Elephas maximus indicus: one gene and its partners. The protein of the gene in region 1 binds, or shares a complex with, the protein of each later gene. Links are inferred from orthologs where the notes say so. Each region holds a gene or a part of one and is shown in the gene's direction. Other genes may lie near its edges. The genes, in order: ARHGEF7, PAK1 and SHANK1.

The links.
Region 2: the proteins of ARHGEF7 (region 1) and PAK1 are in contact, whole or in part, in an NMR structure (PDB 1ZSG), measured with the Homo sapiens proteins. The link is inferred for Elephas maximus indicus from reciprocal best matches to the Homo sapiens genes ARHGEF7 and PAK1. Residues at the interface, in NP_001106983.1 of Homo sapiens: Lys192, Phe193, Phe195, Thr198, Asp201, Glu202, Glu217, Gly220, Trp221, Trp232, Pro234, Ser235, Asn236, Tyr237; in NP_001363202.1 of Homo sapiens: Thr185, Pro186, Pro188, Val189, Ile190, Ala191, Pro192, Arg193, Lys198, Arg203, Ser204.
Region 3: the proteins of ARHGEF7 (region 1) and SHANK1 are in contact, whole or in part, in a crystal structure (PDB 3L4F), measured with the Rattus norvegicus proteins. The link is inferred for Elephas maximus indicus from reciprocal best matches to the Homo sapiens genes ARHGEF7 and SHANK1. Residues at the interface, in XP_063131056.1 of Rattus norvegicus: Asp735, Ala737, Trp738, Asp739, Glu740, Thr741, Asn742, Leu743; in NP_113939.2 of Rattus norvegicus: Gly673, Phe674, Gly675, Phe676, Val677, Leu678, Arg679, Gly680, Ala681, Lys682, Phe696, Glu703, His735, Arg736, Val739, Ile742.

The regions. Positions count from the first base shown.
Region 1 is NC_064841.1:77,018,245-77,028,540, forward strand, and holds the start of ARHGEF7 (rho guanine nucleotide exchange factor 7), read left to right. Parts: upstream 1-6,026; 5' UTR 6,027-6,197; intron 6,198-6,566; exon of another isoform or gene 6,567-6,576; 5' UTR 6,577-6,979; coding exon 6,980-7,144; intron 7,145-10,296. UniProt on the Homo sapiens protein: Acts as a RAC1 guanine nucleotide exchange factor (GEF) and can induce membrane ruffling. Functions in cell migration, attachment and cell spreading. Promotes targeting of RAC1 to focal adhesions. May function as a positive regulator of apoptosis.
Region 2 is NC_064825.1:44,659,763-44,669,761, forward strand, and holds the start of PAK1 (serine/threonine-protein kinase PAK 1), read left to right. Parts: upstream 1-5,198; 5' UTR 5,199-5,376; intron 5,377-9,999. UniProt on the Homo sapiens protein: Protein kinase involved in intracellular signaling pathways downstream of integrins and receptor-type kinases that plays an important role in cytoskeleton dynamics, in cell adhesion, migration, proliferation, apoptosis, mitosis, and in vesicle-mediated transport processes.
Region 3 is NC_064829.1:97,699,555-97,710,025, forward strand, and holds the start of SHANK1 (SH3 and multiple ankyrin repeat domains protein 1), read left to right. Parts: upstream 1-6,143; 5' UTR 6,144-6,195; intron 6,196-8,580; exon of another isoform or gene 8,581-8,668; 5' UTR 8,669-8,711; coding exon 8,712-8,966; intron 8,967-9,164; coding exon 9,165-9,368; intron 9,369-9,888; coding exon 9,889-9,960; intron 9,961-10,471. Other genes in the region: CLEC11A (C-type lectin domain family 11 member A), read right to left, coding at 1-124, 535-726, 973-1,162, 1,376-1,522. UniProt on the Homo sapiens protein: Seems to be an adapter protein in the postsynaptic density (PSD) of excitatory synapses that interconnects receptors of the postsynaptic membrane including NMDA-type and metabotropic glutamate receptors via complexes with GKAP/PSD-95 and Homer, respectively, and the actin-based cytoskeleton.

The DNA.
Region 1 (10,296 bases):
TTGTACAGAGGAAGAAGCGGTCATAGGATATTTGTAGACTCTAGGACAGTAGTGGATGGTTTGGCTCATTGTTTAGGTGCCTGAAAGGGACAAGATGGGATGACCTCAGGGAGGTCTGGGCAAGAGGCATGCAGAGAACTTACGGGAATAGACACAAGATGTGTGGATCTTTGAGCCTCATGTCAACGTTCATCAGAGAACAGCCACTGCAAAAGCAGCAGCCAGGTGGACAGGATGACTTTTGTTTGGAGGGCAGCCAGCCTCAGCCTTTGGGCCCACAGACAGAGTAATTCCCGTGTGCAAGAGACCTACGCCATGGGCTGTCTCTCACCGAGGCTGACCTAGCTACTCACAGCAGAGACAGAAGCTAGCTCCTTGATATGCAAACATCATTTGAGGAAACCTGCCAGCTGCTTGGTAGCAAGTTGATTACGTCAGACCTCTTGTGCCCTAGAAGGAGAAGCAACTCATCTTACTGGGATTGATTGTTTTTGTGTACATGAATTTGCTGCCCCTGCCTGAAGAGTTTCTGCCAGCTATTTGTGGGCTGACAGAATGCCTAATTTCTTGACACAGGACCCCACATAAGATGGTCTCAGACTAAAGGACCCATTTTATGACGAAGGAGGTATGACCGTGGGTGCTTGAACACCAGAATCATTTGCCCTGCCATATATACATCGACTGGAAGCTGCCAGCCTGATATGATGACATTGGACTGGCTTTTAGGAGGCTCATCTACGATACCAGCTTAGGGATGACTTCCTGCTGTGTTAGGGACCTGCCCTTCAAGATGTGGTAGGCCACTGAATCAATCGCCTTTAATGATGTTGTGCCCCCAATAGCTAGAAAGAATGTGTCCAGGTACCAGAGGATAGAATAGCATCGGCCCCTTTTACCATCTCTCCCAGTGATCTACTTGGGGAATTTGTTCTTCCTGTTCTTGAAACTTGAGGCTCTGCTGAATTGGAGGTCATTGCCCTGGGGAGACCTTCAATCATAGTAGGTAACGATCAATGGATAAATGTCTCAGTTCTCATCTTCTGGTTTGAAGATTCTGAGACATCTTCCATTTTGTTTCTTGGAGGCTCCGCAGGGAATTGCTCACTTACATACCCCTTTATTCACTTATCCCACCACTCTATGTCTGTTTGTCTTACTGTGGTGGCTTGTGTGCTGTTGTGGTGCTGAGAGCTATGGCAAGACTTCGTCTGACTTTGGACATGTCATCGGGAGGGACCAATCTCTGGAGAAGGACATCATGCTCGGTAAAGTAGAGGGTCAGCAATAAAGAGGAAGACCCTCAGTGAGAGGGATTGACACAGTGGCTGCGACAATGGGCTCAAGCAGAGCAACAATCGTGAGGACAGTGTGGGGCCGGGCAGGGTTTCGTTCTGTTGTACCTCGGGCTGCTGTGAGTTGGAACCGACTGGATGGCATATAACAACGACATTCACTTTTCTCCCTCCTCAGCTTCACCTTCTCCTTCTTCACTTTTGGTTCTTGGAATCATCTCCCAAATAAACTACTTGTACCCAAGTCCTTCCTTGAGGCCCTGCTTTTGGGAAAACCCAAACTAGGATAGGTATGTTGTTGACTTTGTTTCACCGTATAGTATATTGGTAAAACATTTTCTAATCCTGAGTCATATTTCAGTCACATATGTTGATAAACTATTTTCTTGCTTTGCATCCATCATATTTCGTATTTGGTCATATTTATGCCAGACAAATAGAACAAATTTTCTCAAAATGAATGCCTTTGATAACATACCTGTAATCGACACGGTGAGTTTCATGGAACTGCCTCTTACTGCATCCCTCAGTCTAGGCGATGACCCAATTCAATAAAAGTGATCCAACAGGGAGCCATTACTACACAGTCCTGGTAAATAACCATCTGCCTGCCAGCTTAAGGTTGGGGTAGATTTTAACATATTTATAAGACCACCCTCCAGGCAACCGCACACAAACAGTGTCCTTCAGCCAAGCTTTTGATTGATAGTTACTGGTTTGCAGCTGAGTTTGTGGGTGTACTCCTAACAAATACCTGGAATGTGGCTATCAGCCATTAAGAGGTAGCCAAGCTACAGGGTCGCTATGAGTTGGAATCGACTTGATGGCAATGGGCAAGCTGGGAGTAAAGCTGAAATTCTCATGAGAACTGTGGGAGCTAAAGGACATGCTTGCATTGAAACCATTCTACACTCTTTTTTTTAAAGTAGGTTTAAAAATTTTTTTTATTGTAATGAAATAAATATAATAAAACATTTGACGTGTCAACCATTTTTACAGTGACTTTGACTGTATTTACCATGTTGTCTACATCCTTTTGAGGGTAAGGCAAAGGAATATCCATAGACAGGGCCAAGTGGTCCACAGGAAGCGATGGAACGTGTTTCTAGTCCAAGGGACCAGTTAGTGTTGTGTTCCAGAATCCTACTCCACACAGCATGGCTCTAGAATTGTAACTGGGAAAAATCTTAAGGCAGGTTTAACCACATGCCCACGTTGGATGTTACATCTCAATTAAACACCTGGGGAACATCTAGCTTTGAACATCTAGAATATATTCGAAATAAAGTTTTTGAAATGCCACTAGTAAGTATAAAGCACTTAAAAGTTGGGGTACTTCTATTAAAAAAGACCAGTTGTACACCAATATTCATTGTGACATTATTCACAATAGTCAAAAGGTGATGTAATGGATTGAATTGTGTCCCCCCCAAAAATACATGTCAACTTGGTTAGGCCATGTGTACTTGTCCTCCATTTTGTGATTTTCCTGTGTGTTAGAAATCATAATCTCTGCCTGCAGTTAAAAGGATTACTCAGGTCACCTCCCTGATACTGAAGGGAGTTTCCCTGGGGTGTGGCCTGTACCACCTTTTATCTCTCAAGAGATGAAAGGGAGGCACGCAGAGAGTTGGGGACCTCATACCACCAAGAAAGCAGCACCAGGAGCAGAGTGTGTCCTTTGGATCCCTGTGCCTGAGAAGCTCCTTGACCAGGGGAAGCCTTCCTCCAGAGCTGACAGAGAGAGAATGCCTTCCCCTGGAGCTGAAGCCTTGAATTTAGACTTGTAACCTACTAGACTGTGAAAAAATAAACTCTTTGTTAAAGCCATCCACTTGTGTTATTTCTGTTATGGCACTGCTGGATGACTAACACAGGTGGCAACAGCCTAAACGTATATATAAAACGTGGTATATACAATGGAATATTACTCAGCCACAAAGAGAAATGAAATCCTGATACATGCTACAACGCGGGTGAACCTGGAAAACGTTATGCTGAGTGAAATAAATCAGTCACAAAAGGACAGGTAGTGTATGATCCCACTTAAATGAAATATCTAGAACAAGTAAGTATACAGAGACCAGAGTTTATTCGTGGTTACTAGAGGTAGGCTGGAAGGGTGGGAAAGGGGAACTCCTTGCTTAGGAGACATTGCCTTTCTGTTAAGGGTGATGGAAAAATCTGGAAACAGGTAGTGGTGATGATAAACATAATTAATGTCACCGAATTGTTCATGTGAAAAGTGTTGGAATGGCAAATGGGTTAAACAAAACCTGTTGCCGCCAAGTCAATTCCGACTCATAGCAACCCTATAAGAGTAGAACTGCCCCATAGAGTTTTCAAGGAGCACCTGGTGGATTCCAACTGCCAACCTCTTGGTTAGCAGACGTAGCTCTTAACCACTGTGCCACCAGGGTTTTGCTACATGTATATTTACTATATTTACCACAATTTAAAAAAAGACTAGTTATAGTACTTGGTCTGTGGGCTTTTTTTCTGATAATAATTGGATACCTAGGAACACTCCCTAGAGCTTGTTGTTTGTAGGACCATTTTATTAAGTCAGTTTGAATCTTACTCTTGTTTCCCAGGTATATGCTGCACCAGACCTAATTTTAATAGAATTTGAAACTGTAGTGACTATACATGTACTGAAAATTATTTCTCCCATTCGGCAGTAATAAAAGTAAACAGGAATCTCAAGACCACCCTCGGGTTGTTGATACTTTCCCACTGACAGACCCTTCAGGTACAAAACTTTATAAACCAAAACCAAACCCAGTGCTGTCAAGTTGATTCCAGCTCATAGGGACCCTAAGGGACAGAGTAGAACTGCTTCCAAGGAGCGGCTGGCAGATTTGAACTGTTCCCAGCCATAGCACTTAACCCCTATGCCACCAGGGTTTCCTAACAAAACTTGATAAAGCTGTTAATTCCTCTGCTATTTTCTGGAGACCTTATAGGGAAGCAATGTAGAGAGCTAGCTAGATAGACGCCTTGGCTCTGCAGTCAGATATCGTGGGTTCGAATCCCATCTCTACCACTTAGCAAATAAATGTGACCTTGGACAAGTGGCTTCATTTCTTTGAGTGTCGTTTCCTCCTTTATGAAATGAGGATAATGAGATAACTTCACACGGTTGTGCAGCGATGGAGTGGTGTGGGTGAGGGCGCTGGACATGGTACCTGACTGTGGGGATGCACAGTGAATGGCAGCTGTTATCACTGTGTCTTTATTGGCCCTCATTGCCCAGAATTCACACTGCTATCCTAATTATTTTGTGTTTGTGGCAAGACAATTAGGTACTCGAAGAGGAAAATTAATGCAACTAATGACTGCAGTAGAAATTGCGATAGAAATAATCTGTGTCACAAAACAATTTGTGCACAGATTTTTAAATGAGAGACTAATTCGTGCTGTAAACTTTCGCCTAAAGCACAACAAACAACAAACACCTCCGGAAGGAAGAAGAGGAAGAGGAGAGTTAAGCTGCTTTCATTATTTTCCAAAGTTTTTTTTTTTTTTTTTTTTATGGTTTCTGGCTTTATCATTAGGTGGGTTAATACATGTGCCTGGCACACAGTCAGCTCTTTGTAAGCGACTGCTAATATTATTTTAAACTCAGGGAGAGTCACAGCAAGCAAACAGAGAAAGCACTAACAGACTAGGGGCAGAACAAATGGAAATAAAAGGAGCAGAGAAGGCTTTCTTCAAAAAAGAGGCCCTATTTCTTCTAGAGCAATATAAATGTGTAAGCGTCACCAGCTGTTTAGAGAAATTTGCTCAGTGCCCTGAAGGCTGGTGTTTGAATTCCTTAGGCCTGTACCCGTTCCAGGCCTACTTCCACCTGACGAGCTTCTGCTCCTATGCAGTCAGCCAAGCGCCCTACTTTGAGCGGTTCTCATATTCCTGCTTGATCGTCTGCACAAACCCACTCTAGGCTTATGTTATTTTCTTGACTTTCTTCCAACAGTGTTTGAAACATCACCATCAATTTAATGTGGGAGAATTCCAAGGTTTCCGGTCCTAGGAAAATGCGCTCCCTTAACGGTCCTCGCATATATTTAGCCACCCACCTTCCAGAATTTGGTGAGGTCATCCGCCGCATTAACCAGCCCCCCAGCAGGGGGCACGCGAGACACAAGCACCACGGCGTTAAATTGCGGTGCACGTTTAAAAGGACAAACAGCAGGGTTAGGAAAATCAATTCCTTCCCGAATTAGACCCATGTGGTTACATACTTAGGGTCCTGGTGGCTCAGTGGTTAAAGAACTCGGTTGCTAACCAGAAGGTCGGCAGCTGCCGGAGAAAGATGGGGCAGTCTGCTTGGCAAAGATGACAGCCTCAGAAACCTTAAGGGGCACTTCTACTCTGTCCTATAGGGTCGCTATGAGTCGGAATCGACTCTACGGCAGTGGGTTTGGTTTTTGGGTTTGGTTACATACTTCATTATAATTTACGTTCTGTAATTATTGGCTTGCAAGGTAGCGAAGACGTCTTGTTTTCAGGACCCTCCCCCCCTTCACTCCCCTCTTGAAATAAAACTGTCAAAGATATGAGAATTCTGGGAAATATTTAATAATTTAAACTTTCATGATTAAAAAAAAAAAAAAAAAAAGGTTTCCAAGTCCTCCAAGGAAGGGGGTGGGGCGGCGGAAGGGACAGGAGAGCGAAGACAGTCCCGGGAGGCGCTTCCATCCAGATGGTGTCGGCTGCGTAGACCCGGAGCAGGAGCGCAAACGGCTCAGACGGTGCGCGGAGGGGCCAGCACGTGGTCGCCGAGGGGGCAGGGCGGCGCGCGGGCTCAGCTGGTAAAACCACCTCGGCGTGTGGCTGAACCCAGACTTCTGGAGGTCAAAAGGACTCTTTGGGTCTGTCGCCTACAAAGCAGCTGTCGAGGTAAGAGCGCGCGCGCGCACAAACACGAGATACTGATGACAACGGTTACGGAGGGGTGGGCCGACGGGCGCCTATCCACACAGCTAGTCTGGATTTAGCTGCCCCCTAACGGGCAAGCACCTGTGCGTAAACACACGCCCCGAGGCATCGGTCACATTGGCGCTGTGTTCCTGGTACCATTTGTTAAATTCGGCGTAGGTCACATTCACATCACGCGCAAAGCCTGCGCAAAAGCGCACGCAGCGTGCCCACTTGTCCTGGGGGCCCAGGGCAGCGAGGACCCATCTGTCGTGCGCGGCGGTGGCGGCTGGGACGCGCCGAGACGGTGACAGGATGTGGAGCGGGTTGCAAACGGCACCTTCTTTTCTTCTCGTTTCAGTGATGTCATTGGGCGACAGCAGCTGAGGGCTGGGAGGAGGAGGAAGAGGAGGAGGAGGCGGCGCCGGGCCGCCGCCGCTGCAGGTTCATGTGCACATAATGAAAAGGCACTTGACAGTCTGCCAAAAGGCGAGCCAGGGAGAGGGAGCGAAACTGGACCTACTGGATTTCGCAAAGCCAATCGTCGTCATCTGCATCTACATGGGGAAGGAGGAGGAGGAGGAGGAGGAGGTGGGATCGGCGGCTCCAGCCCCGGCTGCTCCAATGTGAAACCACGAGCCAAAAGGGGGCTCAGAAAAAGCAACGGAGAGCGAGCGGGCGGGCGAGGGAGGAGGGAGAGGCTCGGCGGTGCAGCATCCCCCTTGGTTCCCCTGCGGATTTCTCCTGCTCCTCCTCGGACAGCTATGAATTCTGCTGAACAGACCGTTACGTGGCTCATTACCTTGGGGGTGCTGGAGTCGCCCAAAAAAACCATTTCGGACCCGGAGGGCTTTTTGCAGTCGTCTCTGAAAGATGGGGTGGTCCTCTGCAGGCTGCTGGACCGCTTGCTCCCCGGGACCATAGAGAAAGTAAGTGCTATGGCAGCTGGCGCGCCGCCCCCGCCGCGCGGACCCCCTGGCACCGAGCGCGCCCCCGGGGCCCGGCCGCTGCGCGCCGCCTGCGGGCTGGGCGCACAAAGCTCGCCGCCCGGGGTCCCCGGCCGCCGCGGCCCGGGATGGCATAGGAGTGCCCGGCCGTGCGGACCACCTCGCGCCTTGGCACCTGGCGACCCGCGCGGCGGTCCCCGCCTTCTTCCTGTGCCCCGCGGGGAATGGAGCGCCCCGGGAGGAAGCCTACGCACTTTCCTTTGTGCGCGGACCCCCTGGAAGCCCGGTTGGCGCCGGGCAGGAGCGTGCGCTTCTCCCCGCGCACAGCGCTCCTCGCCAGGCAGCCGGAGCTCGGAGGGCGCCATTGTGTGGGGCGGGCCGGGGGCGCGGGGCGGCGGGGCGGGGGCGCGGGGTCGACGGGCCGGAGGCGGCCGGCCGGGGGCGCGGGGCCGAGGGCGCGGGGCGGCGGGGCGGCGGGGTGGCGGGGCGGGGGCGCGGGGCGGCGGGGCGGGGGCGCGGGGCGGCGGGTCGGCGGGCCGGGGGCGCGGGGCGGCGGGCCGGGGGCTCGGGGCGGGGGCGCGGGGTCGACGGGCCGGAGGCGGCCGGCCGGGGGCGCGGGGCCGAGGGCGCGGGGCGGCGGGGCGGCGGGGCGGCGGGGTGGCGGGGCGGCGGGGCGGCGGGGTGGCGGGGCGGGGGCGCGGGGCGGCGGGCCGGGGGCGCGGGGCGGCGGGCCGGGGTCGGCGGGCCGGGGGCGCGGGGCGCGGGGTCGGCGGGCCGGAGGCGGCGGGCCGGGGGCGCGGGTCGGCGGGAGAAAGAGTTCTTTTACATGGTCGGAAATAGGATTTCTGTACCGCCCTGACGGTAACTTGCTCCTCGGTGTTGTGAGGTCTGCCTAGCTCGTTTCCAGTAACCTGATGGTAAAACGGTCTTCCAGTACCACGCACAGTTTTCTCTGATGGCTTTGTTTGAACAATTCTTCTTCTTGGCATTTCATCCTTTTTCTGTTTAATTGATCGATTCCCGTGCATTTTTTAAAAGACGCATTCATCAGTAGCTGAGGGCTGGGCTGTGAAACGGTTTACTACTTTCCCAGCGAAAAAATGCCTCCTGTATTCCCAGGCAAGAGGATTGCAGAAGCTTGAGTTAAAAAAAAAAAAAAAAAAGCCCTGGCATTCTTCGAGACTTGTGTAAAATTGCAGATTTCGTTTTCAAATTCATACCTGATTCTGAACAGAATCGATAGTCCTAAAAGACCTTCCTTCCCGTTACTCTTGACTAGTGGTTTCCCCGTGGCTGCAGTGTGAACTTTGACCTGCATTTCTGTAAGTGATTAAAGCTTGTTTTCAGCTCCCAGGAGCTCACGAAGCATGGGGAGGGGACGTGAGAGCTTCGAAGGAGGTTGTATTCCCTCTATTTTAATATATTACAATTTTATCTCAAATATCTTGCCAAGATAGAATGTTAGGCTCCACAGTTATTTAAATGATGGCACATATTGGAGTGAACCATAATTGGGGAAACCAGCTTCATTTTCTAATGGGGGCACATTGGCCCTTATACACAGTGGAATGCATTTGTTAATAATGAAATGTTTTACTTGAAAAAGTGAAATATTTAATCTTACTCATAACTTTGAACGCGTTCTGGCATTACATTTTAAATGTCAGAAAATCTTTAATTTTGCATACATATTAGTTTTAGGTGTCTTTCTTATTTGGAACGTATTTATGACAACAATCTGTCCATGAAATAAAAATGTTGCTTGTAAATGAACCAGGTGTCACAATAAAATTATGATTTAAGGTGAGAATAAAGGGCAGGATTTAACTCTGGAGGCACTCAGGATGCTCTGTTGTCACCTGGATATACTACTTCTGGAAACAAAAGACAGATGTTAAAAAAGCACTGAAAATGCGGAAGTTTACCATCGTAGATGTAAAGAAAACATTGCTCCAATTCTAAGAGCGAAGCTTTAAGTAACAGTCTGCTGTGTTGATAAGAACATGTCGATATCGGCACATATGTTATTCGTGGTATTAAAGACGTTAATATCAATTGGTAGGCTCCAGTAATTATTTTCTTTTAAATTCTGGAAAGGTTTTCTTAGAAAACTGTTTCAATGCTTTCATCTCTAAAAGAACAAAGAGAACTGTGAATAAAATGTTTAACTTGCAGAAGCCAAAGTGAGACAACCGAACAGAGTCTAAAACTAGAGTCATTTGGAAATTTCTTATATTAAAGCCATTTGTTTTTACCTCGGCCCCAAAATAGTTTGCTTTAAACTGACTGTATGGCAATGAAAGCTTAACATCAAAGTAGCAAATTTTAGAGCTATGAATTCTCTGTGGTTCAAAGGTAAGTTTTCAGGGTAAAATATTAGCCAGTCTTTGCCTCCCCAAAACCCTTGGGTTTCAGAAGAATCATGAGGTTTTTTTCCATTTCCAGAGAAGAGCTATTTGCTTGAGCTTTCTGATGTTTGCACGGATACCAACTAAAATACGCCACAGAGCACACATGCTGAACAAGTTTTACTGAGATGTGGGAATGTGAGCATGAGGACATTTTTCCTTAAAAAGAAACATTTGGAAACTTAACTGAATATTCATGTGGAACTGAGAGAATCTTAACTTTCCCCCTTTTGACACATGAGCACACAGACAACTAGCTAATGCAGTAGGAGCAGCTGTAATTGCGTATTTGCAAATTCACAATTTAAAACTCACCATCAGACCGGGGGATACGGACAAAATCAAGAAAAGCTGTTGAGCTGACTCAGGTTTCTCATATGTCTTCTATTAAAAAAACCCTTTTCTAGTAAGTGTCTTCCATTATGTTCATTTACTCTATTTTAGAGCTAATAAAAGGGCAGAGGGAACTGAGAGGACATTCCTTTAATTTCAGATTTTTCTACTCGTTTAAAAAAAAAAAAAAAAAGGGTTTTCATTCAGGTTCCCTTTTCTGGAGTTCTACTGGTTTTAAGGTGGAAGGTAAGCCAGTGAGAAGAGGGAACTATAAATTGATGTGAGCAGTTCAGAAAAGAGAGACCTTTAATTATTACCAGCGTTGTGTTTTCTGATCATGGCTGCAGGCGAGAAAGAGATGAGGATTAGAAAGTTGACCAGTGCACTTTGATT
Region 2 (9,999 bases), on another chromosome or scaffold:
CTGTTTTGAGCATATTTTTATCTTGATTTATTTTTGTGATTTCTCTGTCTGGGTTGACTTCTGACTGCTCTGCCCAGTGCTCTAGTATTGGGTTGATATTATTGATTTTCTAACCAAAGAACTCCCTTTAGTGTTTCTTGTAGTTTTCGTTTTTTTTTCGAATTCCCTAAACTTCTGTTTTTCTGGAAATTTCCTAATTTCACCGTCGTATTTGAAAGACAGTTTTGCTGGGTATAAGATTCTTGGCTGGCAATTTTTTTCCTGCATTTTATAAGTCATCCCATTGCCTTCTTGCCTGCATGGTTTCTCCCGAGCAGTCCGAGCTTATTCTTATTGACCTTCCTTTGTAGGTGACTTTTCGTTTATCCCTAGCTGCTCTGAAAATTCTCTCTTTATCTTTGGTTTCGGCAAGTTTGATTATAACATGTCTTGGTGACTTTCTTTTAAAATCTACCTTATGCGGTTTTCGATGAGCAACTTGGATAGATACCTTCTCAGCTTTCACGGTATCAGGGAAGTTTTTTGCCAAGAAATCTTCTACAATTCTCTCTGTATTTTCTGTTATCCCTCCCTGTTCTGGTACTCCAATCACTGGAAGGCTATTTCTCTTGATAGAGTCCCACACGATTCTTAAGTTTTCTTCATTTTTTAAAATTCTTTTATCTGATTTTTCTTCAAATATATTGGTGCCAAGTACTTTATCTTCAAGTTCAGAAATTCTGCCTTCCACTTGCTCAATTCTGCTCCTTCACTTTCTATTGAGTTGTACACTTCTGCACTTTTATTGTTAATCTTCTGAATTTCTGATTGCTGTCTATGGATTTTTTCCAGCTTATTAAATTTTTGATTATGTTCCTGCATAATTTTTAAAATTTCTTTAATTGCTTTATCTGTGTGTTCCTTGGCTTGTTCTGTATTGCCTCTTTTCCTTCCTGATGTCTTGAAGGGTTCTGTATATTAATCTTTTGTATTCTGCCTCTGGTAATTCCAGGAAGGCACTTTCACTAGAAGATCCCTTGATTCTATGTTTTGAGAGCTTGTTGAGGCGATCATGGTCTATTTCTTTATGTGACTTGATATTGACTGTTGCCTCCAAGCCATCTATAAGTTATTGTATTAGTTTATTTTATGGTTGCTTATCGTGTCATAGCTTCTTGCCTTGTTTTGTTTCGATATGCCCAAATGGGTTGCTGGAGTGAGCTAGCTTGATTATTTTCACCTTTGTAGCACTGAATCCAGTCCCCAGATGGCTAGAGCTCTTATCAGGTATATCAGTCTAGGAATCCATTCACTTTTCTTGTATGAATTCAGCTCAGGTGTCCAGGTAGCTGGTCATCAAGTATGTGATACAGGCTCTGTCCTATAGTTTTAGAGGGGCAGGGGTGATTGGTGTAGGTACCCGTATCTGGTTGCAGCAGAGTGTCATGCTCTGAACAAGGCAGGGGGCTGAGAATCATCCCCCACGTGTCTCTGAGGAAAGTGTGTCCCTGTTCCCTACAGCATACAGGTGGGTGGCTTCTGTAGATGGACCATGGACACTCAATATTTTTGGTTGTAAGGACTGGGAGGTACCAGTTATCCTTGGACCCATGTTGCAGGTGACTGGGTAACCTGAGTGGAGCTACCAGTCCTTAGGACCCTGATGTGAGTAGGTGAGGACCCTGTTTAATAGGCAAAGCAATGTCAAACATCAAACACCCACCTTTCCGCCGCACAGCTGAAACAGTTGTAGTGTGCCAACAAGGGCCTATTGTTAAATAGGCCCACACAGGTCCATGTAGAGGGGAAAGGTGCTCAAAGTCCATGGACTGTTTATGCCTGTACAGGAGCTGCTTCTGTCCTGAGGTCCCCTGGTTAGTGGAGCTGGCAAATTATCTTCTCCCCCAGTTGCAAATTTACTCCTTCTCCAACGCTGGGAGGATGGCTCTAAGCATTCAACAGGGCCTACCTCAGGTCCAGGGAAAACAGCCTCTGAAGCCAGCTTGGGGGCGGGGTGGGGTGGGGCAATAAAATATACGCATGTACCGAGCTTTTGCAGAGAGTGCTCTTCTTCTCTGGTTCTGGAGGTGTGAGTAGGCTGTGTGGCTGGCTGCTTTTCCCTGAGGAAACTGTGGCTGAACGGTAGTACCAGCCTGCCGCAGCCGCCTCCAGGAATGGTGCCTGAGGGCTCCCTGTGTTTCAGGTCTGGTAACTCCTCTCTGCTTCTGAACCGTTGCTTCCTCCCCCTGCCCCTCAGTTCGTTTTCTAAGCTTGCCTTTGATGTTCAGGGCTCCTAGGTTGTCATAAATATACTTGTTTCACTTTTTTTTTTTTTTGGTTTTTGTTGTAAGAGGGCTCGCCAGAGGTGTCTGTCTATTCCTCCATCTTGGCTCCTCCTCAATAGACTTTCTCCGTAGTGTTTTTAATGGCAGATTTTTGGGAAGTAAATCACCAGGCCTTTCTTCCAAGGTGCCTCTGGGTGGAATTGAACCTATAACCTTTGGGTTAGCAGCCATGTGCATTAACTGTACCACCCAGGGATTCCAGGCCATTTCTAGGTCATCTTTAATCCTTTAATCTTGAAAACCTAGCACAGGCAAGGGCACATGGTAGATGTTTGATAAATGTTTGAAGAGATGGCATACATGATAGATTTGAAGGTAACAAAGGCTCCAAAGGAAACTAATATGCTAGATAGCAGAGAGAGAGCTTGAAAGTATGGGCTGAAGCCAACAATATAAAATTGAATGACAGTGAAGTCGTGCATTTTAAATTGCAAAGAAATGAGGACATATGGGAAGACTGGAGGAGACCTAGAATGATGCTGTTCTTATGAAAAAGAGACTGGTGGTTTTAGCTGCCTAAGCTCAATGTCAGCCAAAGGTATTTCAGTGGCTAAAAAGGTAATGCAGCTGTAGACTGAATTATCGGAAATAGTAAGTACAATTAAAAAAAAAAAAAAAAAGGCAATGATTATTCCCACAGACTTCACTTACACTATCATGTCTTCTCAGGGAACCAGGTAGTAAGAAGGTCATTGCAAATAGGACTGAGTTTAGTGGAGGGTTCCTCAGACTAGCGCTACTCAAAGTAGGGTCTGAACTTTTTCCAGTCTGCTGTGTGGTAAGCATAGAAATTGAAAGTGTTTAGAAAACTTTTATAGCAATTTAACAGTAATTTTATGTCTGTGTCAGTGGTAGTTGATATGGAGAAGACTAACACCAAGGCAGAGAGAACTAAAGTGTAGGCTTAGAGTCAAACCAGGGTTCAGATGACTCAGCCATTTACCAGCTGTGTAGTCTTGGAGAAGTCACTGCCTTCTCTCACCCATCACCAAGTTGTGCAGCTTCTCCTTGCAAACTGTATTTTTATTACATAATTGTTTCTTTTCATCTATTCTTCCAATATGTTAGTCCAAATCATTACCATCATCTTTTGCCTGGAACTCTGAAAGAATCTACTAACTTGTTTCTTGTTTCCATCTTCCCTTCACTCTCCATTCTTCATTCAGCAGTCAGTGAGCTTTTAAAAACAAATTAGATCTTCTCATTTTGCTTTACTAAATCTTCCAAAGACTTCCCATCGTATGTATAAAAAAATCCAAACTCCTATTTGTGACCTGGAAGAGATCCTGCATAATCTGACTCCTGCAGTCTCTCTGAAGGGGCGGTGAGGTAATACTACCTCCTAGCGACCATTTGGAGCCCTGGTGGGACAATGCTTAAGAGCTTGGCTGCTAACTGAAAGGTCAGCAGTTCAAGTCCACCAGCTAGTCGCTCCTTGAAAACCCTATGGGGGCTGTTCTACTCTGTCCTATAAGGTCACTATGAGTTGGAAACTACTTGACGGGACATGATAACAACAGGGAGCACTTGAGGAGTCCCTTGGTGGCAAAAGGAAACCCTGGTGGTGTACTGGTCAAGAGCTACGCTGCTAACCAAAAGTTTGGCAGTTTGAATCCACCAGGGACTCCTTGGAAACCCTTTGGGGTAGTTCTACTCTGTGCTTTAGGGTCACTATGTGTGGGAATCGACTCGATGGTAACAGGTTTGGTTTTTTGGTGGCACAAGTGTTTAAGCACTGGACTACTAACTGAAAGGTTGGTGGTTCGAACCCATCCAGAGGCATGTTGGAAGACAGGCCTGGCAATCAGCGTCCAGAAGGTCACAACCTTGAAAACCCTATGGAGTGCAGTTGTACTCTGCACATTTGGGGTTGCCATGAGTCTGAATCCACTAAAAAACAAACAAAAAAACAAACCAGTTGCTGTCAAGTTTTTTTTACTGATAGCGACCTTACGAATCAACTAAACCAAACCAAAAACCAAACCCAGTGCTGTCGAGTCAATTCCGACTCATAGAGACCCTATAGGACAGAGTAGAACTGCCCCATAGAGTTCCCAAGGAGCGCCTGGCGGATTCGAACTGCTGACCCTTTGGTTAGCAGCCGTAGCACTTAACCACTACGCCACCAGGGTTTCCACGAATCAACTAGATGACAATAAACAACAACGGGGAGCATTTGGAATGTGTTGTGCCTGCAATTTGGTGTTGTTCAGCTCAGGGCTCCTTACAGTGCCTGAGACACAATAGGTGCTTAAGAAATACCATATGAAACCACATTCTCCCCAGGCCTCAGTTTTGTTGTGTGTGAACTGGTGTAGTCCCCACTTCACAAGGCTGATGAGAGACAGACTAATATTTGTAAAGCCCCTGGTATACAATTAGCACTTAAACGGTAGCTGCTGCTGCTGAGCTTGCTTTGCTTTGAAACAGCCATAAGGGCCCACCCAGTGTTTTCCCTGGGGCATTAGAATTAGACCTGACACGTTTTGGGGGTGTGGGATGTGTGTGTGGGGGGTGCGGAACCGCTTTTACTGCAGCCCAATCTGATGGAATTGTAGGACATCTGACTTCAGAAGACCTGGAAGAGGGCTTCGTGCAGAGCCAGAGCCAGCTGCAGAAACTGAGGCGCAGAGAAGCTCTGGTTCTCTTCCTTGACTCTGGGGCGCGCCCAGGACTCTGACAGAACCTGGAAAGCCCGGTTCCGGCGGGAAATTACCTCCTGCTGGAGTCGGAATCGATTCGACGGCAGTGGTTTGATTTGGTTTGATTTGGGAGACCGGGTGGTGGAGAATAGCTGATTGGGAAGGTACTTCCTCCCGCCTCCTTCTCTGCCTTCTTTCTCCGCCCCTTCTGCTTCGCCTTTGCTGCCGCCCTGCGAGGGCGCGAGCGTGCTGCACCGCGGGAGCTGGGGCGGTCCAGCTGCCCAGAGCCTGGCCCAGCCGAGGAGCGGAGCCGGGGAGACTGGCTGTTGCGCGGTCGTGCTGGCCGGGAGAGCTGCGGGTCTGCGACGAAAGAGGTCGCCAGGGATGCCGGGGTCGGCGCCCCCCACCAGGTAATGCCGGCCCTGCCTGGGGCGTGCCCAGCTAGGCTTGCGCTGGGGGTCTCCGCCAGCTTCCGGGGAGACCGGAATTTTAAGCCTCCTTTCGTTCCCTTTCTTTTAAGAGGCCCTAAATGAGAGAAGGGGCAGAGGGTGGAACCCTCTGATGATCCCACCCAGGGTTAGGCCTACACTGGCATCAGAGCTCTCGCCGGGGTGTGAAGGGGAAGCTGCGCTTTTGGGGAACTGCTCTGCTGCGGGAGCCCGCGCTCGTCTGCTAGTACCCTTTGCGTGGTGGCCTGGGTGATGCTCACCTCTGCCTTCGCTTAGCTTCTCGCCTGCTGGGACCGTGGAGCTTTTCTCTGGGTCCTGAGCGGGGGAAGGGGGGATGTTCTACGTGACTGATAAGTGAACTGGGAAATGGGAGACCTGGCGGGGGGGGGGGGGGGCTGGTACTGGTTCAGACAGCCTTTTTGGGCCTCAGTTTCTTTATTTCTGCAATGAAAGACTTGATATCCTGCTTGTAACTCTGGCTTTCCCAGGCTGTCAAAGTGTCTTGGAAAGATGAGCAGGCGAAAGCCCTGGAATGAGTCTTGGGAACGTGCCCTTACACTGTAGGAGACAGAGGCGAAATTGGGAAGCAGATCTTGGCGTTATCTCTTCCAGCTAGCTTTTTGAATGCATCTTGCTGGTTTGCCCAGGACCCAGTGACTTCATGGGCAAGGCAGAGGCTGAGAATGCTGATATTTGGATATAGGGAGGTGGGGTTGTGAAGAAGCAGGTCAAGGTATGCTAATGGTTTTTTTTCTGAGCTGCCCATTTCAGTATTGTGTATAAAGCTGCTTTAAACTATGTTGTCTTGTGTGAAGCCCCTTCCTTTCCCTGCTAAGTTAATGACAAGCCTTGGGGCTGTATAATGACTTAATCACTGTAATTTCTTCCTTCTTAATTATCTGGGACCAAGAAACACATGTCAGGCCTTCTACTAACCTACCTAGATTATTTTGAACTTTCCTCCTCCCCCTGGTTTTTCCTTGGTCCTGCCTCTTTTAGCTCTCCCCACTTCTCTTTCAGCTTCCTCCTCCTGATCTTTTCCTGCCCTTCTTCCTACCCACCTATTCTCCCACCCCAGCTTCCTCCCTTTTTCCTGGTCCCTTCACGCTTTGCCTTTCTTATCTCTTCTTCATAGCCAGTTTTTCCTTCCCTCTCTTAAGTCCTTCATTCTTGGTTAGGCTTCTCTTTCCCTCTTACAATTTCTGGTTAAACTTTTTCATTATTAGTAGGTTACTGGTTTGTAGGGACCTTTTGCTGTGGTGTTTTGTGAGATCTCAGCATGCTCTGTTTCCTACCTAACTCCCTTGCTATGAGATTTCTCCTCCAAATTCTGTCTTCTCCCAGTGCCAGTAATCCTTCCTTTTGGATTTGTCCCCCAACCTCTTTCCCTGGGGGTCCAGCAAGTGGGCCAAAACCCAAACCTGCTGCTGTCGAGTCAATTCCGACTCATAGCGACCCTATAGGACGGAGTAGAACTGCCCCATAGAGTTTCCAAGGAGCGCCTGGTGGATTCGAACTGCTGACCTCTTGGTTAGCAGCCACAGGACTTAACTACTACACCACCAGAGTTTCCAGCAGGTGGGCTGTAGGGAGTAAATTAAATGGGAAGTCAGAGGCTTGAGGTCTAGAGTTGGAGGAGAGCAAGTGTGTCCAGTAGGGCTGGGCAGAGGCTCAAACTCCCTTTAGTGAGATGAGTGACTGGGGGAGGACCAAACACTCTTTGGCAGCTCTGAGACATTGCTGAAGAAATGAAGTTGACCCATGAGCCCAGGAAAGAAGAGGGGAAAACCCTGTGGGAACCTAGGAGGGATTAGGTTCTTCTGGGGGAGAAGAACAGTGGCCTTTTGAAGAAGAGGGTGACTGGGTAAGATAGGGATTATTTGGGCGTAGGGGTGGGTGGGGAGGGGGTGGCAAGGGAAGGACTATAGTCTGGGAAAGGGACCATATAGGTTAATTCTCTTCCCCTATGCAGACTTGCTTTTTGGACTGGTTTATTTCTACTCAGCAAAATTTTCTTGAGTAGTGTCCCCAAAGTGGGTGAGTGAGAGAGGCAGCAGAGATGAGAGTGACAATGTTGCTGTTTTCTGGTGCTCACCATCTAGGCCAGAATATGAAATGTATATCTATATAAAAAGCTTTGAATAAGGCATCCATTCATCATCAGATGTTCTCTGAACCATCTGTGTTAGTTATGGTATCAGGTGCTGGGGATACAAAAGTGGAAGTTGAACTCAGTGACTGCCCTCCATCCAGTGCAGGTCAAAGAGTGTGGGTACCTGTGACCTCATATGGTAAGTATCTAGAGGCAAGCACAAGGGGCTGTGGTGGTGCAGAGGAGGGAACTTTTGACTCAGCAAGTCAGATGCAGAGCTAGAACATAAACTCAAATCTTCTTTAAAGGTGATGCCTGTTCTCTGTATCATTTTATCTCGTAACCCCATGTGTACAGATAGTATACAAAGAGTTTTCTTTTTCCTTTGTTAATTTTATGGTGCTTTGTTTACAGTGCAGATTAGTTTCTCATTCAAAAATTTGCACACACAAATTTTTTTGACGTTGGTCGCAATCCCCGCAATGTGTTGGTGCTCTCTTCCTTTACCACTATACCCGGGTTCCCCGTGTCCGTTCATCCAGTTTAAGAGTTTTCTTACATTCCGCTTTTTGCCTACCTTTTGGGCTGGAGGAGCCCTGGTGGTGCAGTGGTTAAGAGCTATGGCTACTAACCAAAAGATCAGCAGTTGGAATCCACCAGCTGCTCCTTGGAAATTATATGGGGCAGCTCTAACTCTGTCCTATAGGGTCCTTATGAGTTGGAATCTACTCGACGGCCACGGGGTTGGTTTTGGGTCTTTTGGGCTGAACTCTAGGTGCTGCTGGGTAGAAAAAAGAAAAGTTACACATAATAGGTCGCTATGCAATGGTCAAACACACATTACCTTGAAAGGGAAACACACCTGGTCTCTGTTAACATCTGGCCCCAGGCCACTTGGGTGGCTTGGTGTTGAGCTGCCTTTATGAGTCATTTGATCTCGTCCTCCCTTTCCTCCCCCCTCCATTTTCTTAAATTCAATTTATGGTGGACTGTAGCATCCAGAAACCAGATGGAGCTAAGCTAGGCATTTTACTTCCATTGGCCTCAGTAAAATGAGGACTTAACATCTCATAGGGTTGGTGAGGATCAAATGGAATAATGAGTATGAGAATACTTTATAAACTGTAAAGCACTTTGCAATATTGTTATGGTTGTTCCTGAATGCATTTTCAGGCCTTGAAAAAGGCTCAGATGCTAAAGCCTGAAAGAAATGCCTGCGGTTGCTGACTGCTTAGTTTAAAACTGAGCCTCAATCTTTAAGGAATAGAGGAAAAGGAATAGACTAGATAGAGAAGGCTTTATGGACTGGTGATTGAGCCCCATGCTCAGAACTGAGGTTGAAAGATGTAGTTATTTAAGATCACATAGATAGTAGTTGGCTGCGGTAAGATACGAAAGGAGCCCTGGTGGTGCAACAGTTAAGCACTCAGCTGCTAATGGAAAGGTTGGGGGTTTGAAACCCACCCAGCGCCTTCTTGGGAGAAAGATCTGGTGACCTGCTTCTATAGAGATTACTGCCTAGAAAACCCCATGGGGCAGTTCTGCTCTATCCCATGAGGTTGCTGTGAATCACAGTCTACTTGATGGCACCTAGCGATAACAGCAACAGAAGCTAAGAGAGACTATTTTTAGTGGAACCCTGTGGTGTAGCAAAGAAATAGAAGGGGGAGTTTAAAAGTTGACTCACCTTGGTTCAAATCCTGGTTTTGCCACTTACTAGCAACCTGGTTGCTAATCACTCTAAGCTTCATATAAAATGGAAGATATTTATAACTACCTTGAAGGGTTTTTATAAGGATTAAAATTATATAGTAGGCATTTAGTAACTATCATTATTGTTATTCGACAAAAATAAACTCTGATGTCACCTTCTCAAGAAACTCTTCCCTGACTAGTAGGCTATTAAGGCTGCCTTCTCTGGATTCTTGTAGCACCCATGTGCTTGCCTCACCATTCATAGTGGCACTTACCATGTTGTATTGTCATTCTGGTTTATGTATCAGCCTCTTCCATCAATCTGTGAGTTTTTTGAGGGCAGAGACGGCCTAGTAAATCTTGATGTCTACAGGGTACCTTGCCAAGCCCTGTTGAGTTGTTAGGTATACATAAGTAAACACTGCAGACTTAGTTGTTCCTTTGTGAAGATTACTGTTAATTTGAGGGGAATGTAAATAAGTAAACAAACCTAATTAAAACTCATGATCAATGCTGAGAAAACCAAGAGCTCCATTTTGGTCATGTTAGGTTTGAGGTACTGTTGAGAAATGTGGTGGAGTTGTCTAATAGAAGGTTGTTAACCTGAAAGAGAGGTGTTTGGGCCAGAAATAGAAACTTGGGCTTCATCAATATATAGATGATTTGTAAAGTCATGGGAATGGATGACCACCTGTGGGAGAGCGTAGTGGATAAAGAAAGGCGGTTCCTCCTCTTGGACATTTGGAGGATGACTAGAGAAGGAGGAATCTGAAAGGAGATAGAATTAGAGATAGAGA
Region 3 (10,471 bases), on another chromosome or scaffold:
TTGTCTGCCGGTTGCGCCAGGCTCCCGCCCCGCGCCACGCAGCGCGCCTGAGCCGTCGCCTGCGCCTCGAAGTCGCGCGAGAGGAGGAAGCACTTGTGGCCCAGGCGAACCCCCTTCAAGCAGCCTGTGAGCGAGATGGAAAAAGAAGGGGCGGGGTCAGAGTCCCCGGGGGGCGGGGGAAGGCGGAGTCAGAGCCTCTGGGGGCGGGGCTGGGGGAGGTGGAGTGAGAACTGCTCGGCCTCCAGGGGTGGGGCCAGACTGTCCCCGGAGGAACTGGAGGGGGCGTGGCGCCGGCTGAGTGGGGTCTGCGCCGCCAAAAGCTGCGAGCGCCTCCTCCAGTGCCCCTCCTGCTCTCCGCATTCACCCTTCCAGCTGTTCTACCCTCCCCATCTGCCAACGCACACCAAATCTCCAGGGACCCTTTGCCCCTGACACTCCGGGTCCCCCTCTAGCCTCAGAACTCCCCCCCCCGACTAGCCTCCCACCTCGCCCCGGTCGCCCACTTTTCCCCCGCCGGGTCTGGCGCGGACTCACCCTCCAAGCGGCCGTGCTGGCGCTCTGCGCGGCTCTGCGCCTCCTGCAGGGTTTGCACAGCGTCGCGGGTGTCGCCCGCCGCCTCCCGCAGCTGACGCAGCCCCCGGGTCAGTTCGGCCACGCGGGTGTCCAACGTGTGCAGACGGACGTGCAGCTGGTGCAGGCCAGCGTCCAGGCCGGCCAGGCGGCCCACTGCGGAGCGAAGGGGTGTGCGCTGGGTGGGGGCTAGGAGCGGGTTCCGGGACCCGAGTACTTGGGGAGGGGCGGGGTGAACACCTGGGGCTCCCAGGGACGAGACTAGGGGGACCCCAGGACTTCTGGAAGGTAGGGCTCAGTGGCCGGGGCTGCGGAAAGGTCACCAGACAGTGGATTGTGGGTTCATTTTTGTGAAAGTGGTCACCGAGGCCTGGGGACAGGGCGGGGCTTCTGGGTACTCACGAATGTAAGAGATGGCGTCCTCAGGGGTGGGAGAAGGGCTGGGGCTGGAGGAGGGAGTCAGGGTTGCTTCTTCCTCCTCTTCCTCTCCCTGTCCATCCTCCTCTGCCCCCTGGGCCTCTCTGCCCTCAGAGGTTCTGGAAAGACTTTCATTCCCTCTCCCAGCAGGCAGCCCCAGGGCCTCCTGTAAATGCTGGAGCAGGCGAGAGGAGGTCAGGGCCGCTGGACCATACCCCCCCATTCCCCACCCTCCCCTTGCCAGCCCTGAACTTTAACTTGCTCTCTGAGCCAGAGTCCTTTCTCTGATCCCGTCACCCCTATCCTCTGTGCCTATTTCTTTAACTCTGGAATTCCCCCCTCTGGAGCCTAGGACTCCCCCATACAGACCCAACACACCCCAGCTCACCTTCAGCATCAGGGCCTCCCTTTCCCGTTCCTCCTCCTGGGAGCCTCCCCAGCCTCCCTCCCACTCCCTCTCAGCTTCCTGAGCCCCATGGCCATAGCCAAGAAGCTGGGGGACCACCAAGGCCCCAAGGAGCCAGGCTGTCCTCATCGGACTAGGCTTGTGGCACCCAAGGCCACAGACGTCCTGCTGTCTATAGGAGTCTCTGGAGACTGGACTGTGCCCTGCCCTGTCTGCAGGTCACTGGCTCCCTGGTCCCTGCCTCTCCCAGCTTCTCTGGACTCCTGTCCCTCTCCTCCCAATTCCTGTCTCTGTTCGTTTGTCTCCTCTGTGTGTGTCTCTCCCCGCCCCTCTTGGCTCCCCGGAGGCCTGCCTCTGTGGCCGGAAACCTCCAACGTTCCAAAGCCTGGATCCGCCTGCCTTTGGTCTCCTTCACACACACCCCTCTTTCCACTTTCCAGAGCTCGGTCCCTCCCTGCTCCTTCCTTTCTACCCTGGCTCAGAGGGCCAGGAAGAGCCTGGGACTGGCTTTCTTCGAGGGTGGCAGGCCCAGCCTGGGCCAGCACCAGGGCCCCTCAGGACCAGGCAATGGTTTGGCCCTGTCCCCTTCCCCTCTCTCCCACCCCCAGCCATTCCTGAGGAAGGGGTTTCAGCTAAGGTTGTTATTACCCCCAGCCACCATCGCCCACACATCCCAAGAGAGAGATCTCTCCAACCAGTCTCAGGCTCCAGGGTGATTCCTGCCCTCAAATCTCCTATTCCCACCCTCCAAGCCCTTGTCCCAGGTGCGTGTATGTGGGTGAGTTATGCCTGTGGGGACACATATGTGTCCCAGGGTTCATTTACCACATTTTACTGAATGCCTCCTGCAGACCAGACCCGGGCCAGGCCGTGCTGGGTACTCCAGCTGCTCACGGACAAGTGGACTTGGACAGACAGTCCCACTTGGTGAGAGGCTGGGGCTGAGGGGTAGTAGAGGAGGTGGGGGTGGAGGAGGGAGCAAGCAGGGAAAGGTAGGGTCAGGACAGGTTCCTTCAGAAGGTGGAGGAGATGCTGGGCTCATGGAGAGCTCTGAGCATTTGGCAAGGTGCCTGTCTCCTGCCTGGACCACTGCAGTCGCCTCCTCCCTGCTCTCCCCCTCCTTCCTCCAGAGCCCCTCCAATCCACGATGCTTGCCGCAGCCAGAGCAATCTTTCCCACCAGTAAGTCAGATCACGTCACTCCCCACTCCCCTGCGCCCCCAGCTTCCCATCAGATGCAGGAGTGGAGCCAAACCCAGCCTGGCTAGCCTGGCTGAGCTGGGGAGGATGAACCCTTTGCACCATCTCCCCTCCCCTCACCCCCCAGCTCCAGCCACACTGGTCTCTGCTATTTACAGAATGCCAAGTTCACCCCCACTCCAGAGCCTTTGTGCCAGCCATTGCCTCCTCCTACACGCTCTTTGCCCAATTTCTTCTCATTGTTGAGGGCTTTCTGCCCACCTTAGGTCCCTGCATGGTGCAAATGGTTTGGGTTTCAATGTGACTACTACTGCCCTGGTGGTGCAACAGTTAAGTGCTCAGCTGCTAACCGAAAGGTTGACGGTTTGAACCCACCTAGCGGCTCCATGAGAGACACAGCTTAGGAAACCCTATGGGGCAGTTCTACTCTGTCAACGGGGTCACTAAGAGTCAGAATTGACTCCATGGCACCTAACAAAACAACACTAATTGAAGGTGACAGTTTGAATCCACCCAAAGGTGATTTGGAAGAAAGGCCTGGTGATCTGCTTCCATAAATCTTACAGCCAAGAAAACCCTAGGAGCTCAGCTCTACCCAGTACCCCAGGGGGCTGCCGTGAATTGGAACCGACTCAGCAGCAGTGGGTTGGGTTTCAGTTTTTCTGCCCACCTCATTTAAAGAAACTTCCCCTCCACAAGTTGTTTCTGTGTCTGGGGTGTCCTGGGGTCTCCGTGAGTCAGAATCAACTTGAGGGCACCCCGGTCTTGTTTTTTCAGAGGAGTCCCTAGGTGGTGCAAACAGCTAATGCACTTGGCTGCTAACCAGAAGGTCAGAGGTTCAAGTCCACCCAGAGACACGTTGGAAGAAAGACCTGGGAATCTATGTCCAAAAGACCGCAGCTATTGAAAACCCTACAGAGCACAGTTCTACTCTGACGCCCTGGGGTCTCCATGAGTCAGACTGGGCTCTGCAGCAGCTGGTTTAACTGTTCCAGAATAGCTCAGGGGCTGTAAGCTGGTTAAAATTGGGGGTCTGGGGAAGCATCCTGAGGCTGTGTTTCCTGGCAGGGTAAGAGCTTGACCAAAGGTCAGTCTCCCTAGCCTCCCTCCCACCCCCCTCTTGGCCCCTCTGAGCCCCACAGCTAAAGCCAAGGAACTGGGGAACCATCAGGGCTCCGAGGAGCCAGGCTGCCTGCATTAGACTGGACTTGACACACCCAAGGTCGCAGATGGGCTGTTCAGGTGACACCCCGAGTCTCCTGTAGTAGGTGGCGGTGGCAGTGGGGGAGGAGGTGGAGAGGCCAAGCCTGCTCCAGCCAGGCCTGGTGAGTCATCCAGGGCTTCCCCAGCCACGGCTGAGCTGGTTTTGCCAACAAGCATGGAGCACCCTAGCCAGGGATCACGGGGCCCACTTGTCAAAGGACGAAACCGAGGCTCAGGGAGGGGAGATTGTGGCCTTCTGGAGGTCACCAGCATGGCGGCAGCTAGCCAAGGTTTCTGGCTCTGAGCAAGAGCAGGGCATCTGCCCTCAGCTGCCGGGAGCCCCAGGAGGGGCCTTGGAAATGAACACATCCAGCCTTCGGTTTTCCAAGAAAGCTTGCTACACAGCAAAGGGCAGTGTGACCTTGGTAGGCTGCTCACTAGAGCCCCAGCCTCTCAGGGCCCAGAACCCCTGCATAGGCCGGGAAAGGCCTTGTAAACTGTAGAGAGCTGTGCAACCTCTTTCACTGCTGGCACCAACACGGGCAGCTGTTCTCTCCCCAGGCCCAGCTGCTCACCACCTGGGCCGGGTGTGCATCAAAAGCAGGTCTTTCTGCTCTAGCTCATGGTGGTGGTGGTTGGGGGGGGGGGAACTCTGGAGTGCTTGTAGCTGTAGGTACACCCAGAGGGTGCCTGGAACTGTAGGTGCCTGTGCTCAAGCTGGTGGCCTTGGAGGTCCTGTTGGGGCTGGGGAGACAGGTGGCAGCCTGGGCCCCCAGGACGTGCACTCACTGCCCTCTGACACCTGCCCTGTGCCTGTGGGTGTGTTCTGGGCATGAATGAGCTATCTGCATACACTATGTGTGCTGTGTGCATGTGTGCACATGCGAGCTGGATATGTCTGTATATGCATGGGATGAATGAGAATGTGCAACTACGTGTGTGCCAGGCAGGATGGACTAGTGGTTGAGTGACAGCTTTAGAGCCAGCCTGCTTGGCACCACCTCTGCCTAGCTGTGTGACCTCAGGCAAGTTACTTGGTCTCTCTGAGTCTCAGTTTCCCCTTCTATAAAATGGGGATGATCAAATTTCCTCACCCATAGGGTTGTGTGAGGAGTAGATGAGTTAACCCAGAGCCTGGCACACAGGAAGGTCTCTGTAAATGTCAGCTATATTGTCACGAAGGGGAGCTAGGCCATGGCTGTGGTGGGCATCTGAATTCGTGTGTGCGTAAGTACCTGAGTGACAGGTGGGGAATGAGTGAGCTGGGAATGCATGCATCCATCCCTTACAGCTGGGTGCCTCCTGTTTCGGGCTGCAGATCTGGGCATGAATGTGGCGATTTGCGCTGTGAGGAATGGGGGATTACATGTGCGTGCGCACAGGCAGCAGGTTTGCCGTGGCCCATGAGCTGATATGCCTGTGTTCAAGCTGGGTGGGTTTGGGTAAGGTGCACCCAGGTGCATTGTGTTTGGGTGTGCATGCCCTGCAGGGCTTGTCTAAGTGGGATGTCTGCCTGGGGGCCCCCTGCTGTGCCTGTGTTCAAGTATGCCACCAGGTGTGTCCACATGTGCCCTGTGTTCCCGTAGAAGGGGTGTGTGTGTGTTTGGGGAGAAGGGGACAGGGATCTACAACCCTCATAATCCAATTTGGGGTGTAGATCTCAGCAACAAATATTTATTGCACCCGACCGTGCTTAGAGGGGGTGAGCGGCGCTCTGGGAAGGGGCTGCCCTGGGGTGTGCATGGGGTACCCCAGGGGGGTGGGGCCCGTTTTCGGGGTATGGAAGCCAGTGGGGGTGGAGTCAGGGTATGGGGACCCGGTGGCAGGGAGGAGTGGGGGGGAGGGCTTGGAGAGGGGGTGGAGCCAGCGGTGGGGGGGATGGGCGAGGTTTGGGGGCGCAGGGAGGGGCGATGTCTCCTCCGCCGGCTCCCGGAGGGAGGGGAGAGGGCGGAGGAAGGGGAGGGAGGGAGAGAGGGAGGGAGAGAAAGAGACAGGGTGAGGGAGAGACAGCGAGAGCGAGAGAGCGAGAAGGGAGGCAGAAGAGGCGCGGAGCGGGCGGCGGCGGCGGCGGCCCGAGGAAGAGGAGGAGGAAGACAGGCGGAGACGCGGCGCCCGGAGCGGGCCGGACCGAGCCGGGGGCCGGCGAGGAGGGGCGCGGCGGCCGCGGCGGAAGGGGGGGCGCTCTGCGGATGGCCAAGCCCGGTCCGCGGGGGGGGGTGAGGTTCTCGGCCCCCTCGCCCTCCCCCCCGGCCCCCGCCCGCCCCCTCCCCGGGCCCGCTCGCCCTCCGGGGCGGTGGGGCATGGCCTGAGGGTCCCCCGTCTCCGGGGGGGTGGGGGGTGGGGGGAGGGGGGAGGGGCCACGGGCGCCGCCGACCGGGACTCTGCAGCCCCGCCAGGCAGGTAAGGGGGCCGGGGATCCGGGGTTTGGGTGAACGGGGGGGCTAAGGCTGAGGGAGGAGGCAGGGGCGCCCCGAATGTCCTTGGCCGCGCGCCGGGCTCCGGGGCCTGGGTGTGGGGTGTAGGTGAGGAGGGGAGCGTTACCCGGGCGACGCCAAAGTGGGTTATGCCCCAGTCCCCCGTGTCCCGTCCCAGATGACAGCCGGGCTGGGAAGATGCACCCCTATATCCCGCCAGCAGCGCCCCCAGCCCGAACCCGCCTCCCGGTGCTCCAGGGCCATGGGCTCGATTGCCGTGCCCGCCTCCTGGCCCTGCCGGCCACTCCCCCGCCTCACCCACCCTGGACCACATGGGCTCCTAGCCCCCTCCTGCGGTCCCACAGCTCAAGGCCCTCTCCAGATCATCCCAATTCCCACCTCGGCGAGGGGTCTCGGCCTTTGTCTCTTCGCCCCCTTCGACCCTCTCACACTCCTGCTTCTCTTTCCAGGCGCCTCCTATCCCCTCTCCACCCCTCCCCATGCTCCCGCCACCCCCACCCCGTCTCTGTTCCTTGCTCCACCGGCCGGCGCGCCCCCTCGCCTCCCGCCCCCGAGTCCCGTTCCCGGTGCCCCCGCCCCCTCTCTCCGGCCAGAGCTCTCCCCCACCAGTGTCTCGGCCTGAGCCCCAGTGCCTTCTCCCCGCCTCTCCCCGCCTCCATTCATTCTCCCGGGCCGGCTCTCGGGCCCCGCCAGCAGCCCCCCGTCCCCTCGCAGCCTCCCAGGGCACCCCCTCTCTCCTCTTCTCCACCCCCCTTGCCGATTCCTCAGCCCGTCTCGGTACCAGCTGCGTGCCAGCTATTCTTAGCCGAGGAGCGTTTGATTCATGCCGCCCCGGCGGAGTGTGCCCGCTCCCTCCCTCGGGGCCTGAGGGGGAGGGGCCGGCGCTGGTCCAGGGGCTTGGGGACAGCCGCGCGCGCGGGGGGCCAGGGCCGGCTCTCCTTTCATCCACTCAGTCACCTCCTTAGTGCTGAACTGAAGCTGAGGGTCAGCCAGGGTCAGTCAAGGGGGAGTGGCTGCGGGGCCCCAGGGCCGGAGGTGGGACGTTGGGTGAGCGCCGGGAGAAGGGTTAGAAGGAGACCGGGGTCCCCGGAAGGGCAGGGTGGAGCAGCGCTGTTGGGTACCTGGAGGGGGAGGGGGCTACGAAGCGCTGGCCCCTCGTGGGGGAGGGGTTGGCCGGCTGGTGCTTAGATGCTCGCTCGCCTTGGCTCTTGGAACTCTCCTGCCCCCCATACACATTTTGTCTTCCCTCCCCCACCCCTCAGCCCATCCCCACTCCCCCAAAGTCAGCAGTACCCTCCACTGCTTCCCATCTCCATGGCAACCGTGCAGGAGCTGGGCCTGGCGTGGGGGGGAGGGACCAGACCAGACATCCTGGTTTCCGGTGCTGGGGTGGGAGTGGGGGAGAACATGGGGGAAGAGGACCCCACTTGGGACCCATCCTTATAAGGCCACCTCAGGAAGAACAGCGGGGGGTTGCAGATGGCCTCCCAGCCCAGTCCCCAGACCCTCACCCCACTTCTTAGTCTCCCTACCAGCCCTCCAACCCCCCCACAGAGTGGAGCCACCAGTACCAGTCCATGCCAATCCACCCGCCAGCAGCGCTAGTCCTGGAACAGACCCATAGGTCACCCGCAGCCGCCCGACACCGATCCAGGCCACCACATCTCTGGTCTTCCCGGGGTCAGCCTCTCGCCCACCCGCACGCCCTTTCAGGATACTCCCAACTACCTCCCTAGGCCACCTCTGGTGATTCCCTCAGGAACAGCCCACTCACGATGCCCTGCCCTGTGACACCCCATCTCGGTGCCCACTTGCTTTCCTGGGACGGTCAATCCCTTAACAGCTCTGTGCACACACACGCTGGCAGCCACACGCCTGTGGAGTCACCAGCCCCACCTGCTCCAGCACCCGCTCCTCCCGCCCCAGGCTGCCAGCATCTCCGTCTCTCCCTTACTACCTCGCAGCCTCAGCCTCCCCCCAGCTCCCCAGGAGAAGAGGAAGGGAGGGCCCAGGGTGAGGGGCCAGGCCAGGGCCAGGAGGGCAGGATGCCGGCCGCTCAGTCCACCTGTCTGTCCTCTGCTAATTTTAGCTGCCTTTTCTGTGGCCTGACAAAGTGGGCCAGTAGCTCCCGCGGTGATTCTGCGGTTTCTGGGACACAGCGACGCTGGGTCAGCGGCAAAGTGGGGCGCAGGGGGGCGGGGGGCTGCGAGGAAGGCCAAGGGCAGGGAAGGAGACATGTGCTGGGAGCGTGGCCGGGCTGGGGGTGTGTGCGTGTGCGTGCGCGTGCGGAGGCGGCCGAGGGGCGGAGTGTCTGGGGGTGTGCCCAGCCTACTTCCTGCCGGCAGATATATGCAATGAGGTGCGCCCGTGGCCGCTGGTCCCGGGTCCTCTGAGGGGTCCCAGGCTCCTAGTCTGACGGCTTCCCTTGGCCCCCGCAGCCGCCTGTGATGCTGCCACCCCCCGTCGCCCCGTGGCCCCACGATGCCCCACAGCCCCGCGTCCAGCGAGGACGAGGAACGCCACAGTGCCAGCGAGTGTCCCGAGGGGGGCTCAGAGTCCGACAGCTCCCCAGACGGGCCCGGGAGAGGCCCCCGGGGGACCCGGGGCCGGGGCAGCGGGGCACCTGGTAGTCTGGCCTCAGTGCGAGGCCTCCAGGGCCGCTCCATGTCTGTCCCCGACGACGCTCACTTCAGCATGATGGTCTTCAGGATAGGCATCCCGGATCTGCACCAGACGGTGAGTGACCGCGGGGAGGACAGGGGGACATGGGTGGACCTCTGATCCTGGGTGCCCTCCCAGGAAGCCCCTTTGTCCCCCTCCTGCCTTCAGTACCATCATCGCCCTCCCCCAGCCCTTCATCTCCTCCCAACCCACCTCAGGCTCCTCCCTGGCCCCTGACACACCCTCTTCCTGGCCTATCCCCTCCCCCACCAGAAATGCCTGCGCTTCAACCCCGATGCCACCATCTGGACAGCCAAGCAGCAGGTGCTCTGTGCCCTGAGCGAGAGCTTGCAGGACGTGCTCAACTACGGCCTGTTCCAGCCGGCCACCTCGGGCCGTGACGCCAACTTCCTGGAGGAGGAGAGGTTGCTGCGCGAGTACCCCCAGTCCTTCGAGAAGGGGGTGCCCTACCTGGAGGTGAGGCCCACAGTTCCCCACGCCCTTTGCTGACAACACGAGGAGTGTCCCCCAACACATCTACCCTCTCCTCCATTTTATCCAAGACCTAGGGGAAACCTAGTGGGTGATTTCAGATCTCAGTGGCCTTGGGCAAGTCCCTTCCCCACCCTAAGCTTCTCCTAACCCACCAGATAGAATGGGGGCCTCCCAATTACAGGGAAGCGGATAGATGTAAAAGGTCTTGCACATGATAAGCATTCTAGAACATTCACTGCAGACTCCTACTTCTTCATGATAGAGGCTGCAGTGTACATACCCCACAACAGCCTGGCACTCTCAGAAAAGCCAGCTACCACCCCTCTGTCCGCCCAGCTAAGGTTCCATGGCAGTTTCACATCCTTCCTCTCAACCCTGAGCTGACCGCTGGCTCAGAAGGGGCCCGGAAGCATGGGGCAGGCCCTGCTCCCCCATCTTCTCCTCCCCAGGCTCCTGATTCTGAGTCTCTGTGTCTCTCCTCCCACCCTGCCCCTGGCCTCAGTTTCGATACAAGACCCGAGTGTACAAACAGACCAACCTGGATGAGAAGCAGCTGGCCAAGTTGCACACGAAGGTGAGAGAACAAAGCTGGGATTTATTCCCCATGCCCCTCCCCAGACCCTCTCCCCAACTCTCCACGCCTTCCCAACAACCTTCCATATTCCTCAACCCACCTATTCCTTTTCCAGGGCCCCCCACTTAACTTGGGATGCCCCATGCCATTTGGGATAACCCAAAGCCCCCCCTTCTCCCCATCATACCCGATTTCGAGTCATAGTGACCCTATAGGACAGAGTAGAACTGCCGCATAGGGTTTCCAAGGCTGTAAATCTTTGTGGAAGCTGACTGCCACATAATTTCCCCTACGGACTAGCTCCTGGCTTCAAACAGCTGAACTTTAGGTTTGCAGCTGAGCGCTTTAACCACTGTGCTACCGAGGCTTCTCAGAGCCCCTTCTTAATTCCTCATTCCACCCTTCATCCCCCTGCCCAGTCCCATATCACCTGGCTCCCATTTTGTCCACCCTTTGACTTGCCTTTCTCATCTCCTCCAAGTTCTCCTGTTCAGGCTCCTTTCCCTGTCCT